Diceros bicornis minor: one gene and its partners. The protein of the gene in region 2 purifies or fractionates together with the protein of the main gene of each other region. This does not show direct contact. Links are inferred from orthologs where the notes say so. Each region holds a gene or a part of one and is shown on either strand. Other genes may lie near its edges.

Evidence for each region.
Region 1: the proteins of RHOD (region 2) and DAAM1 purify together in Homo sapiens (affinity purification with mass spectrometry; 3 studies listed by BioGRID and IntAct, counting the BioPlex papers as one, with this or other methods). This does not show direct contact. The link is inferred for Diceros bicornis minor from reciprocal best matches to the Homo sapiens genes RHOD and DAAM1.
Region 3: the proteins of RHOD (region 2) and PLXNB2 purify together in Homo sapiens (affinity purification with mass spectrometry; 3 studies listed by BioGRID and IntAct, counting the BioPlex papers as one, with this or other methods). This does not show direct contact. The link is inferred for Diceros bicornis minor from reciprocal best matches to the Homo sapiens genes RHOD and PLXNB2.

What each region holds. Positions count from the first base shown.
Region 1 is NC_080763.1:8,995,982-8,999,723, reverse strand, and holds the start of DAAM1 (disheveled-associated activator of morphogenesis 1), read right to left. Parts: upstream 2,429-3,742; 5' UTR 2,321-2,428; intron 2,236-2,320; exon of another isoform or gene 2,176-2,235; intron 1-2,175. UniProt on the Homo sapiens protein: Binds to disheveled (Dvl) and Rho, and mediates Wnt-induced Dvl-Rho complex formation. May play a role as a scaffolding protein to recruit Rho-GDP and Rho-GEF, thereby enhancing Rho-GTP formation. Can direct nucleation and elongation of new actin filaments.
Region 2 is NC_080770.1:6,376,534-6,380,275, reverse strand, and holds the start of RHOD (rho-related GTP-binding protein RhoD), read left to right. Parts: upstream 1-967; 5' UTR 968-975; coding exon 976-1,107; intron 1,108-3,742. UniProt on the Homo sapiens protein: Involved in endosome dynamics. May coordinate membrane transport with the function of the cytoskeleton. Involved in the internalization and trafficking of activated tyrosine kinase receptors such as PDGFRB.
Region 3 is NC_080764.1:502,807-506,548, forward strand, and holds the start of PLXNB2 (plexin-B2), read left to right. Parts: upstream 1-1,302; 5' UTR 1,303-1,377; intron 1,378-3,742.

The DNA of each region.
Region 1 (3,742 bases), on a different chromosome or scaffold from region 2:
AATTAATTCTTAATAAACAGAAGTCCAGATACTGGGATAACAGTAGTGTTAGAAAGAACATTATAAATAGTAATATGGCTGCCTTGCCCACTTTGAAGGATCGCCATGAAGAGCCAGACTATTTTGCTATATACATACAAGTGAGACTCAGAGATATTAACCCAATGGCACAGTGTCAGAAGCTGGGTTTAAACTCTCATCTTCAGATTTCTTCGAGAAAAATAAAAGACACTGAACAAATCCTTCTTCGAGTCACAGGACTTTTATACCTAGTCAACCTTAGGAAACCCTCTCTACTTCTCCCCACATCACCAAAGACCAAGGTTCCCCAGAGGTAAAGGGTTAACCCCAGAGGGCAGTAGCCAGTAATGACAGGGCCAGAGCAGGACCCAGCCTCCCACATCCCAGCCCAGCGGGCTTCAATCTCAAGGACCGGCATCCTCTAGGCAGGCTTTCAGATTCTCTGAAAACCACAAGGGACGGCTGTGACTTCCAGAATTCAATTTCAGTTATTACTTGTCCCTAAAAACTCCCCAGGACTTGCACCGAGGGCAAACTGAGGACCTTTACTGACGGCCCAGGAGCTCTCTTCCTCCAGAACAGAGGAGAGCTCCCTCCTTGAGAAAGCGGCCTCCAACCGGGTGATAGACGTTATTAGGAAAATGATGCAGCTAGCCCGAAGGGGGAAGATCTTTCAACCGTAATTTTCGCAGTTTGCCTCAGGAAAAAGGCTCCAAACAATTATTTCTGGGGAGGGAGGTGGGGAGACGAGCTACGGGCACGCGAGAGGGAAAGGGGTCTAAGAACTGTGTCCAAGCTGTTTACAAGAGAATGGAGAGAACCTCGGGGCTGTGAAACGAGTAAGAAGGAAAGAGCAGCTGGGCCCAGGGCGAGCACTTGACCACACCCACTGGCCACGCCCACCCAGCTGCCCTCAGAGCCACATCGAATCGAAACAGCAGTGGGAGCAGTTAAGATTCCGACGGCAGGAGTCGCCATGGCAACGGGATTCATCTTGCAGACAAACTCCAATTCACTAGGTCCTTCTCGAGCCTCAAGAAACTACCAGCTCAATGGGAGCAAAACGGTCACGGGTGGCATTTGCTCTTGATGCTCTCCTGCGGGCAGAGATGGGGGGCTGGGAGATGCAGTGTAGGTATCCATTCCTGCGCACCCTAAAATATTTTATGGGGCAAGAGACAGAACATCCAACCTCAGGCTGTGAGCAACTTGAGAACCGAGCCACGAGCAGGGTTTGATGAATGAGTGAGTAAGCGAAAGAATACGGTGCTAGGGACAGTGAAAGGAAATCCAGAGGATTTTACAATAGTGTTCTCGCGCGTCACGCACGTCTCCAGTCCGAGAGCAAGGGGATCACAAGCAGCTGGGTTTTCGGCACCAGCTGGGAAAACCCGATTACCTAGCCCTCCTGCCCCAGAGCGCTCCTTATCATTAGATTATTTGACATCCCGCACCGCCTTACCCCCTCCCAGCCCAGGGCTCAGGGCAGACGCTTAGCCCCAGTTCAGGTGCTCTTTGTTGAGGGAGCAATCAGTGCAAGGGGGACCGAGATGCGCCCTCCCCAGAGGGACGGGAGGCGGGAGCACTCTGCTGCGCCTCGAACCCGGGCCGCAGCCTCCCCGCGCCGCCGTCTGCCAACACCCCTTGCTCCTTCCGCAGCGCGGGTTTCCCTCCTCTTTTAGACCTTTAGCGTCCAACTTTGCCTGAATTATAGTCACCCCATTTCTTTCGAGTGAGGCTTGAAGTGAGGGTGCCAAGGACGGTGGGGGGTCCCGCTCCGACGCGGACGGGTAAACGAGTCCCTCCTTCCTCGTCGCCACCTCCGAGTGCACGATTCTCCCTCTCGGAGCCTCCCGGGCCAGCGGCTCCCGACAGCAAAAGTACCCATAATTCCCCAGCCGAGGCCACGACCCCCAGCGCCCCAGCCCCGGGGTATCTGCAGCAAGGTGGCGAGTGGTACCCTGCCGGCTCTCTTGGCATCCAAGCGCCTCAGAAAGAAAGGAGGGAGGGACGCCCGTCCTTGGAGGCGCCTTCCCCCAAGCTCGCCTTGCTTTGCGCGGTGCTTGCAGCCATTTTCCCAAACCCAGCTTGGCAGCCGGGAGCTAGGTCCCGTTCCCACCCAGACGCAACCTGAAGGACGGGTTTAATATTTACCTACTGGCCCGGGAGCTCTGGGCAGGCAGCGAGAGGGCGCGCCGGGAACCCAGCGCCCGGGCCGAAGAAGCGCGCCCACCCCCGCGCCACCGCGCGGTACCACTCAATGAATGAGTGCGTCGGGCCAGGCGGCGCGCCCCCTTACCTGAGCAGCCCCCGCATGCTGGAAAGGCGGCTCCGCGCTCCGGGTACAATGGGATCCGGTTAAATAGTTTCCTTCACAGCTGCTCGTAGGTTACCAACTCGCAGGTGACATCACCCTCTCCTAGCCTGATAGGATACAATGTGGCGCCCATTGCGCATGGACTCCCTGGCTGGGCCCGCAGACTCCTGGGAGCTGTAGTCCCGATCCCTCAAGCAGAGCCGGAGTAGCCCCGCTACTGCGGTTCGCGAAACTACCCTTCCCGACGTAATCATCGGCCTCTTCGTCCCCGCCCCCTAGCCCCGCCCCCGCCGGGACCCGCCCCTCCCCGCCCTCCAGCCTTGCAGCGTTAGCGGTGGTCGTGCAGAAGCGTGCCGACAGCGCTGGGAGGGGTAGTGAGCTCTGCGGTCGTGCCCTTTGACTTGACCTCCACTCCGCCCGGTGCTTGCTCTGAGGGCCCCAAGGGGTCCAGGGCTAGTGCGCACCGGCCCGGCAATTCTGACCAACCCGGCTCTTTGGCCCCAGCTGGAAAGAGAAGATGAAGCCTTTCACTACCTTCACTACGAGTGGTAGCAAATTAATAGGACGCGCTGGTTTCTGGGTTAAACGCGGTCTGGAATTCCCCCGCGTCCCCGAGGGTGAGGCGACGCCGATCCCGAAGGAGAGAAATCCTCGTGTGCCTCCCTTGATACAAATCACCTTTCTTTTCCTCTTTCCTTCTCCCAGTTAAGGGAGTCCGGGTGACCAACCAGAGCGCAGGGAACGGCTTAGTTGGCTCAGCTGACAGAATAACGGAGGCTGTCACTAATAAAAATGCGGTGCAGTAGACTGACATCGCCGCAGCCCTCCGTCCGGGAGCCTGCTGCTGCTGCAGAGATAGTACTATCGCGCGGCCATGCTTTTGTTCTTCCTTGCAGCGGACTTCCCGCTCCAATGGCTCTCAACTCCCGGGAAGACAACATCCTTGTCTAAAGTTTTAATAAATGACATACATATGTATACATGTACTTTTAAATCCACAACACCCTCCCCTCATTTTCCATACCTTTCTCTTCAAATATTTTTAAATGACCTAAACCACTCAACATCCTGCTGTTCAAGAATCGACGTGATCTTAATACATCTAAATGTTTATTTAAAGGTAAGCAAAAGGTGTGTAGTAGAATTGTAAACTTTAGGAAGATTTTATTTTTAATATGTAAAATTTTTCCGTGGCATTTTTCGTTATTCAATAAATACCAAATATTATGAAAAATTAACATGGAGAGCAAATCTCCAGGTCTTTTTAAAAGAAAAACATCAATACACCTAGTTACTCCAGTTGGAAAATAAATTATAAAGGCATTTGATGTCTCAAACATATGAGGATCAGCTCACACCCCTATTTCCACTAGCAAAATCTCTAGAAGACTGTACATTTTGTGA
Region 2 (3,742 bases):
CCCCTCTTTCCTACTCCGGTCCCACTAACTTTCCCTCCCTCTGCTCTAGCTCTCGTCACAATGAGGTCCTGCCTGTCTCCCATTCGAGGCCATGGGCTTCTCAAGGTAGGGACTCTGTCTTGAACGGTTCGGGGTCCCCAGGCCTTTGGGCACAGAGGGGCCATCAGTGTTGGTTAAAGAATAAGAATCACTCACACATGGCACCAACCACATGCCAGACCCTGCTCCAAGCACTTTATAGATGGAAGGTTCCATCACTCTCACCAGATTATGCTTCAGCCAGAGGGGAGACAGGTGGTCAGCCGCCTGCAGCGAAACTTCCTGGTGCTGGCTGGCGAAGGCAGGCCAGGTCTGGCAGTGCCAGCGACTGACCCATAGGGACATGCCCAGGTCACTCCCTTCCTACCTGGCCTGAAACAGCCAGAGAGAGGACTGTGGTATGCTCTGTCTCCAGAGCCCTGGGGGAAATGCTCATTCATTCATCAATGCTCAGTGCCCCACCAGGGACACAGTCCCTGTCCCCACCAAGCTAGTAGGCGAACACGGCCAACCCTCACCTCCCTCCTCCCAGGGGAAGTGGGCCAGGTGCCTCCTCTTTCCCTGTCTACACCTTGGCACACACACTGTCACTGCCCAGCTCCTTGTCTTCTCCCTGTCAGATCCCCGTGCCCTCCTCAGGACAGAGGCTAAGTCTGGGTCTCCCCTCCTCTGGCCCCAGCGCCCACACACAGCAGGCGCTCAATAAATGTTTCTTTAGCGGCTGAATGGGACAGGAGGGGAAGGGCCCCAGCCCCGCCGCCGCGCCTGGCAGCCCCGATGCCGGCTCGCCTCTCACCTGGGCCCGGCCGCCCGCCCCGGCCCCGGCCCGCCCGGCTCGACTTCCTCCCGCCGCCCCGCCCCTTCCACATTCCTGCCCCGCCGGCCTCCCCGCGCCGTCCCGTCGCTGCGCCGCAGCCGCCGGCGCCCGGCCCCGCGATGAAGGCGGCTCAGGCGGTGGGCGAGGAGGCGCCGCCCGGCGTGCGCTCGGTCAAGGTGGTCCTGGTGGGCGACGGCGGCTGCGGGAAGACGTCGCTGCTGATGGTCTTCGCCGAAGGGGCCTTCCCCGAGGTGAGTGCCAGCCCCGCCGGCGCGGCGCCCAGGGCCTGCGCGCATCCCCCATCCCCGCCCAGGCGCCCCAGTGCGCCCCGTCTGTGCGGGAGCTGCCGAGGACATGCGCCCGCGTGGCCTCCCTAGGGGTCTCCCAGCAGAGTGTGGGGTCAAAGGCAGTTCTCTCTCTGCCATGGGGGGTGGGGGGTGAAGGCCTCAATATCATGGGTCAAGTGGCAAGAATGGCACCAACCTGGGAGAGATGTCCCAGTGGCTGACTTAGGCAGCCTAGTACATAGCAGGTCTTAGGGGAGCACTTGGTGGCCCAGGGCGGCTAAGAGGGACTGAGGACTCGAGAGCCAGGTTGCCTGTGTTTGAATTGTGGCTTTGCCACTTACAGCTGTGTGCCCTTGGGCAGGTCCCCTACCCTCTCTGTGCCTGTTTCCTTAACTGCGTGATAGGAATAACGATGGCGCCTACCTACCAGGGTCACTGTGAAGAGTGAGTTAATATGGTCAAGGGCCCAGGTCCAAGCCTGCAAGAGGAAGGACTGGTGGCAAACATCTTTCTTGGGAAACATCATCTCTTCTCCCCCAGATCTTGCCCCTGTAACGGACATCCCATGGGCTCTGCCTTGGAGGGCAAGAGCACAGCAGACCCCAGTCAGACAGGTGGTTGGCACTTTGGCTCTCCTCTAACGAACTGTGTGGCCCTCAGAACCTTGCTTAGCCTCTCTGAGCCTCCGTTCCCTCACACAACCTCATGGGGTGGAGGACCCGAGGGTGGTGGTGAGATGGAATTAAGGTAAGGCTGAGAGACAACCCCACGTGGGACCTGGCAAGTCCTTGACGCTCTGGGCATATCACCTTCACTAGATGCTCCCTGACAGTCCACATGGACTCCCCAGGCGCCAGGACAGGGGCTGACCCACCCGCCATGCCACCTCCCAGCCCAGTTCTGGGAGTCCGTGGCATTGCTTCCAGCACCTTTTCTCCGTCCTGCCTGTCCCCACCTCCTCCAAACCCCTGGGGTTGTGCAGGCACTGGGGAGGCCAGTGGGGGAGGCAGGAGGGGCCAGGCCTGGTAACAGTGTCAGGCCTTTCTTTCCACTGTGGCAGCATCGAGCCGACTCTTGTTTTGTGGTTTATGGTGTTGACGTCACCTCCTCTGGCCAGTCACATTTTTTTAAGTTGGGGGGAGGCGTGTTTCTGGGCCCCCGGATGCTGCCTATGGGAACCCAACAATTATGGCACGGTGGGGAGAGTGCCATGGCGGAGCCGGCCAGCTGAGGCCCAGGAGAGGGGTTGGCGGGGGTGGCACCTCATCACCAGTGTCCTGGGCTCTGAGACTTCGTTGATGGTGAGACCCATCTGATTTCAGAGAGGTTACACTGTGGAAATGGGCATCTTGCAGTTTATAAGATGTGTGTGTTGAAGGACACACTGATGCTGGCCAGGGGAAGGGAGGGCATCCTTGTCACCGGGAGGATGGACCTGGCCTTGTCTAGGCTCCTCTCCTCTTTGGTGCCCCTGATTCCTTGAGACCTCTCTGCCTCCAGGCACAAGAGAGACCTCTTCACTTAAAAGAAACACAACGTCCGAGAGATGGAAAGACCTTTATTTTACTGATGGGAAAACTGAAGCCAGAGAGACAGAGTCTTACCTCGAGGAACTAGGCCCAGCAGTGGCAGGACAGGCCTAGAATGCAGGTCTCCCCACCCCTGACCAGGACACTCTCCGCATCGACCAGTACTCTGCCTGCTGGACCAGCCTTCTCCTGCTCCTGCCCCTGCACTCCTCCTCCTGGCAGCCCTCCAAGCCCAGGGAGCCAGCAGCTACGAGACTTGGGGTCCCATCTCCCAGGCCTCCTGCCTGAAGCAGAGATCAGAGAGCAGGCTGGGATTTGGAGGGGCCTCAGTGACGCTCATCTGGCTGTGGCCCAACCTGGGGTTCGGGGCAGGGGGAGCAGAGAAGAGAGAGCTGAGGCAGGGAGTGACTCCAGGCTGGGCGCCAGCCTCTGCCCAGTCCTGGCATTTGGGGCAGCAACCGTTCCCACGGGGCCGAAGCCCAGGGGCCCGCAGAAGGGTGGGTATCGGAGGGGGCAGGGAGCACCAGCCCTGCCTTCCAGAACCAGCTGAGTCCTTGCTGGTCCGCACAGGGACTCCCATGGGATTGCTGCCGGGGGAAACCCCTGACCCTCCTCTCTTGAGCTGTGTCTCCCGTCCTGCTATGATCCATCCATCTGTCTGTGAGCCCCCAGGAGGGCAGACCCACGCCTCAGTCATCTCTGCCCTGGTCTCCCTCAGGCCCGTCCCTGCTTTTCCAGCCGAGGTCGGCTCAACAGATAAGATTAGGCGCTTATTTGTTCCATAGGCAGAAAGTGACCTGCCTGGGGGGTCAAAGAACACGAGAGACGGTATAGACAGAGTCTCCAGGATGACATTCCAGGGGAGGGGGAAAGGTTGTGACAGTTACAAGCTAGAGGAGCAACCCAGCCCCACAGCCGGGAATGGGCCTTCTCTGCCCACTCCTGGCACCAGAAGCTAGAGTTGATGACCTCAGGAGAGGCAGGTGGCTGGGACAGAGCCTGGCCTCTGGAGCCACAAAGTCCGGGCTCCGTCCTTAGCCAGCTGTCCAGTGTGTCAGTTCCCCGCTCTG
Region 3 (3,742 bases), on a different chromosome or scaffold from region 2:
AGTCTGGGATGGTGGCCTTCCCACATTTTTGGTATTAAAATGTCCTGTGACACAAAGCTTGTCTTGCAACTTCCCTTTTTGATAAAATGTTGGCATCCCTGTCAGACTCTGACAATTCTGGGGTCCCCTGTGGTGGGGGCTTGGGTGGGCTGTGTTGTGGACGCAGCTCAGGGCTGAAGGGGGAAGGTCTGGCCTGGCTGGTGCGAGTGGGAGGTCAGCGAGATGCTGAGAGCCAGTGAGTGCCATCCTGTGGATGCCCCAGTGGCTTCATCTGGCCAGGCGTTCTTGAGCACTTGCAGGAGGACACAGGAGGAAGTGGACTGTCTGCAAGGAGGCCACAAGTCTGGGTGAGGGTGGGTCCCCAAAGAGCACAGGGGCATCCCAGTGTGGGGGTGCAGGTTAGGGTTTGGGGGATGGTCCCTAGCTGATGCTCACCACACCCCATCCTGTGACTGGAGACCTCCTATGTCGGGCAGCGGGAGAGAGCACACAGAAGAGCTGGCCTCACGAGGGTCCCCACCTTCTCTCAAGTTCAGGGGGCCTCAGGGGCATCAGGACCAGGGCAGACGGGCTGGAGTGACCAGAAGTGGAGTGAGCTGAAGTCCAAAGACAGAACTCCCAGGGAGAGGCTCCCTCTCACCACCTACCTCCAGGCACCCAGACACCGGCTGATAGGTCCTGGGTGCAGGTCCCCAGCGGCCCACTGGGGGTAGGGGGAGGAGAAGGGAAGGCAGCTGCGGGCCAAGGATGGGTTGTGAGGGGACTCTTGGCAGGCGCCCCCTTCCCTTAGGAGGTTGGGGGACTGAGCCTCCTGGAAAAGGGTCAAGGCCCAGCAGCCCCCCACCCCCAGAAAGGGCAAAGGTGTAGGCAGCCAGTTCCCAGTCCCAGAGTGGGGGTGCTGGTGCCCCACGCGCCTCAGAACCACGAGGGCAGGGTGCTCTCCCCAACTGCGGAGTGCTGAGGCCTGGGCCTCCCTGTGCCCCGGGACGCTCCGGGGATGGTGCCCAGGCCGAGGGGCACTCGCTGCATGGTGTAAACCTGGGACCGAACCGGGCCGAACCTCCCCAGCAACGCGGCAGGCCCACTGTGGCAGTGCCGGCCCGCCACACCCCTCCCCTCCCCCCCTCCCCTCCCCCCCCTCCCCTCCCCTCCCCCCTCCCCTCCCCCCCCTCCCCTCCCCTCCCCTCCTCCCCTCCTCCCCTCCCCTCCCCTCCCCTGTCCCCGCCCCCCTCCCCCCCGTCGGGGGCGGGGCCGCTGCTCCCGCGCTCCGGCCCCTCCTTGGCCACACAAAGGCCGGTCTCCATGGCAGCCGCGAGGGCCGCAGCGCAGCGCCGATCGCGGCCCGGGCGCCATCGAGCCTCGGCGGTGGACGTGCAGGTACGGAGACTGGGTTCGGGGCCCGCGGGGTGGCTGCGCCGGTCGGGGGTCTTCGCCGTTAGCGCCGCTGCGCCTGGCTGGCGCGTTCTGGGCGCGAGGACCCGGGGCGGCTGCGGCCCCGCGGAGCGCGACTCGGGCCTCGGCCGCCGTCCTGTGTCCCTCGGGCTGGGCCAGGCCGCTCCCGCCGCGCGCCCTCCCAGGGCGGGCGAGGCCTTCGGGGTGGGGGGTTGGGGGGGCGGGCCTGGCCGGGCCGAGGGTCCCCAGCCGGGCGCCGCGCCCTCTCCCGCCGCCCGCGTCCCTTTGGAGCCGCTCGACTCCTTCTGGCTCCTGACCACCCCTCCCCGCCCATGCCCCCCACCTCTGCAGCCACCGAGACCCCGTGCACTGGGCGGAGATCGTCCCTGTCGTGCAAGAGCTCCAGGCCCCCACCCCCCCACCCACCGGGCCGCGGTTCCGGGGTGGCTGAGCCCGGGCTTTCCCCGGGGGGCTGGACCCGCGGTCAGGCCTTGGCAGCCCCCACACCCTCTGGGACTCCTTGTGAGGAGGGCGTGGGCGGAGACCGTCCTGTGAACCCCCTGGTCTTCGCCTGACCAGGCTGTAAGGCGGGTGCAGGTTCCGGGTTTCGGGGGGGGGGGGGACTAGGGGCGCCTCAGACCCTGGTAAGTCCTGGGGGCCTGCCTGGAAGTTCCTGGTGTGGTTTGTTGGTGTGGTGTTTGGGAGAACACCGTGGGACCCAGGAAGCCTCAGAACTGGGGAGGGGAGCCGTGTATTCAGAGCCTGAGCCCTGCCCCTCACCCTCTGGCCTGCACTTCTGCATGCCTCCTCCTGCAGGAAGCTCTCCTGGATGGGCACTTCCCACCATTCTGTGCTCAGGCGGCTTGGCAGATTTGAGGGGTCCCTGAGCCCAAGAGCCCCCGAGCTTCCTGCCATGTCATGTGCTTTTCTTCCCAGCAACTTGGAAAAGGAAGGAAGGATTCTATCTGTGCCTACCATGGCCTGTGTGGGGTCAGAACGGGGGTGAAGCTGGGCCCCAAAGCTCATGGAATGTTCTGGGGTGTGGAGAGCTCCCTGGGCCTGTGCCTACCCTGGGGCACTCCCCCTTTCATGTCTGATTTCAGCCCCGGTGCTCCCTCCCTCCTGGGGCTGGGCCCTCTGGAGGGAGGGGGAACATGGCTGCCCAGAGATGGAGGATCTCAGCCTGACCCCATGCCCAGATGTTACCCTGGCGTGGAGGAGAGATTCCATCTGAGAGTTGGACGGAGGAGACTGGACATCCCTCCTCTGCCCTGAGGTGAAGGTCCCTGGGAGGGCAGGGTCAGCACGGGCCTGGCTGGGTCTGCTGGGTATTTTTTGTGGTGTGTCAGCTTCCCACAGATGACTGAAGACCAGCAGGTGGGCTAGGCAGATCTGAGCCTCCCACGTCCTCCTCCCATACCTACTGGGGGCTCACCTCGGTCTGAGGGGTCAGGGGAGGCCTGAGGTCTGGCCAGGAGTTCCTTGTCCCAGGAGGGGAGGGAAGTCACTGAGAAAAACAAGGGTTTGGAATGTGGTCCCTCTTCTCCCGCCGGCTGCCTGCCAAGGAGGAGTTATTTTGGATTATCCAGCCGCGTCCAGCCACCCGAGGGGGGAGGTGCAGTCGTGGGAGAGCAATCCACTTCCGGGGCCGTGGGTTGGGAGCCCCAGGAGGGAGGGAAGGGCAAGTCTGGGCAGCTCCACCACCTCCCAAGGCTGAGGCTGCTTAGACCAGTCCGGGGTGGGGTGGGAGAGGATGCGTCACCCTTGGGTTGGAGCGGGTTGGAGAATGCTCGAGGTCCAGGAGCGAGCCTGGAATGGGCCCAGGCCCTTCTGGCGGAGGCACAGGGCAGGAGGAGCCCTGGATCCTGTCCTCGGGGCCCGGGGGAGGGGCCCAGCTGTGGGACCCCTTTCAACCCTAGAGGCCTTAGCACTATGGCCTCGAGGCCCTCTGGGGCGCCTCTCCAGAGCCAGGTTTGGGGACACACCTTGGGCCTGAACAGGTAGAAGCATGACTTAGGCTGTTTAGTGTGGGGCACTGGGGTCTCACTCCAGCTGAACCTCAAGCCACCCTCCTTCCCTCAACTGACGCAGTGAGCAGCACTGACTGATGCGCAGCCTCCCTCCAACACCCCCCCGCCCCCAGCCAGCCTTCACCTCCACACCCCCCTACTTGAATGTGGCACCTGTCAGTCCTTCCCACAGGTGAGGGGTCCCACAGATGAGACCAAGGCCAGGGATGGGTCCCTGCAAGGAGCCGTGTGGGACACTCCCTCTGCCGTGTGGGCTTCCCTGGGTCCATGCCTGCATGTGCCCGAGGCCATGCTCCCAGCAGCCCCTGCAGGGACCACAT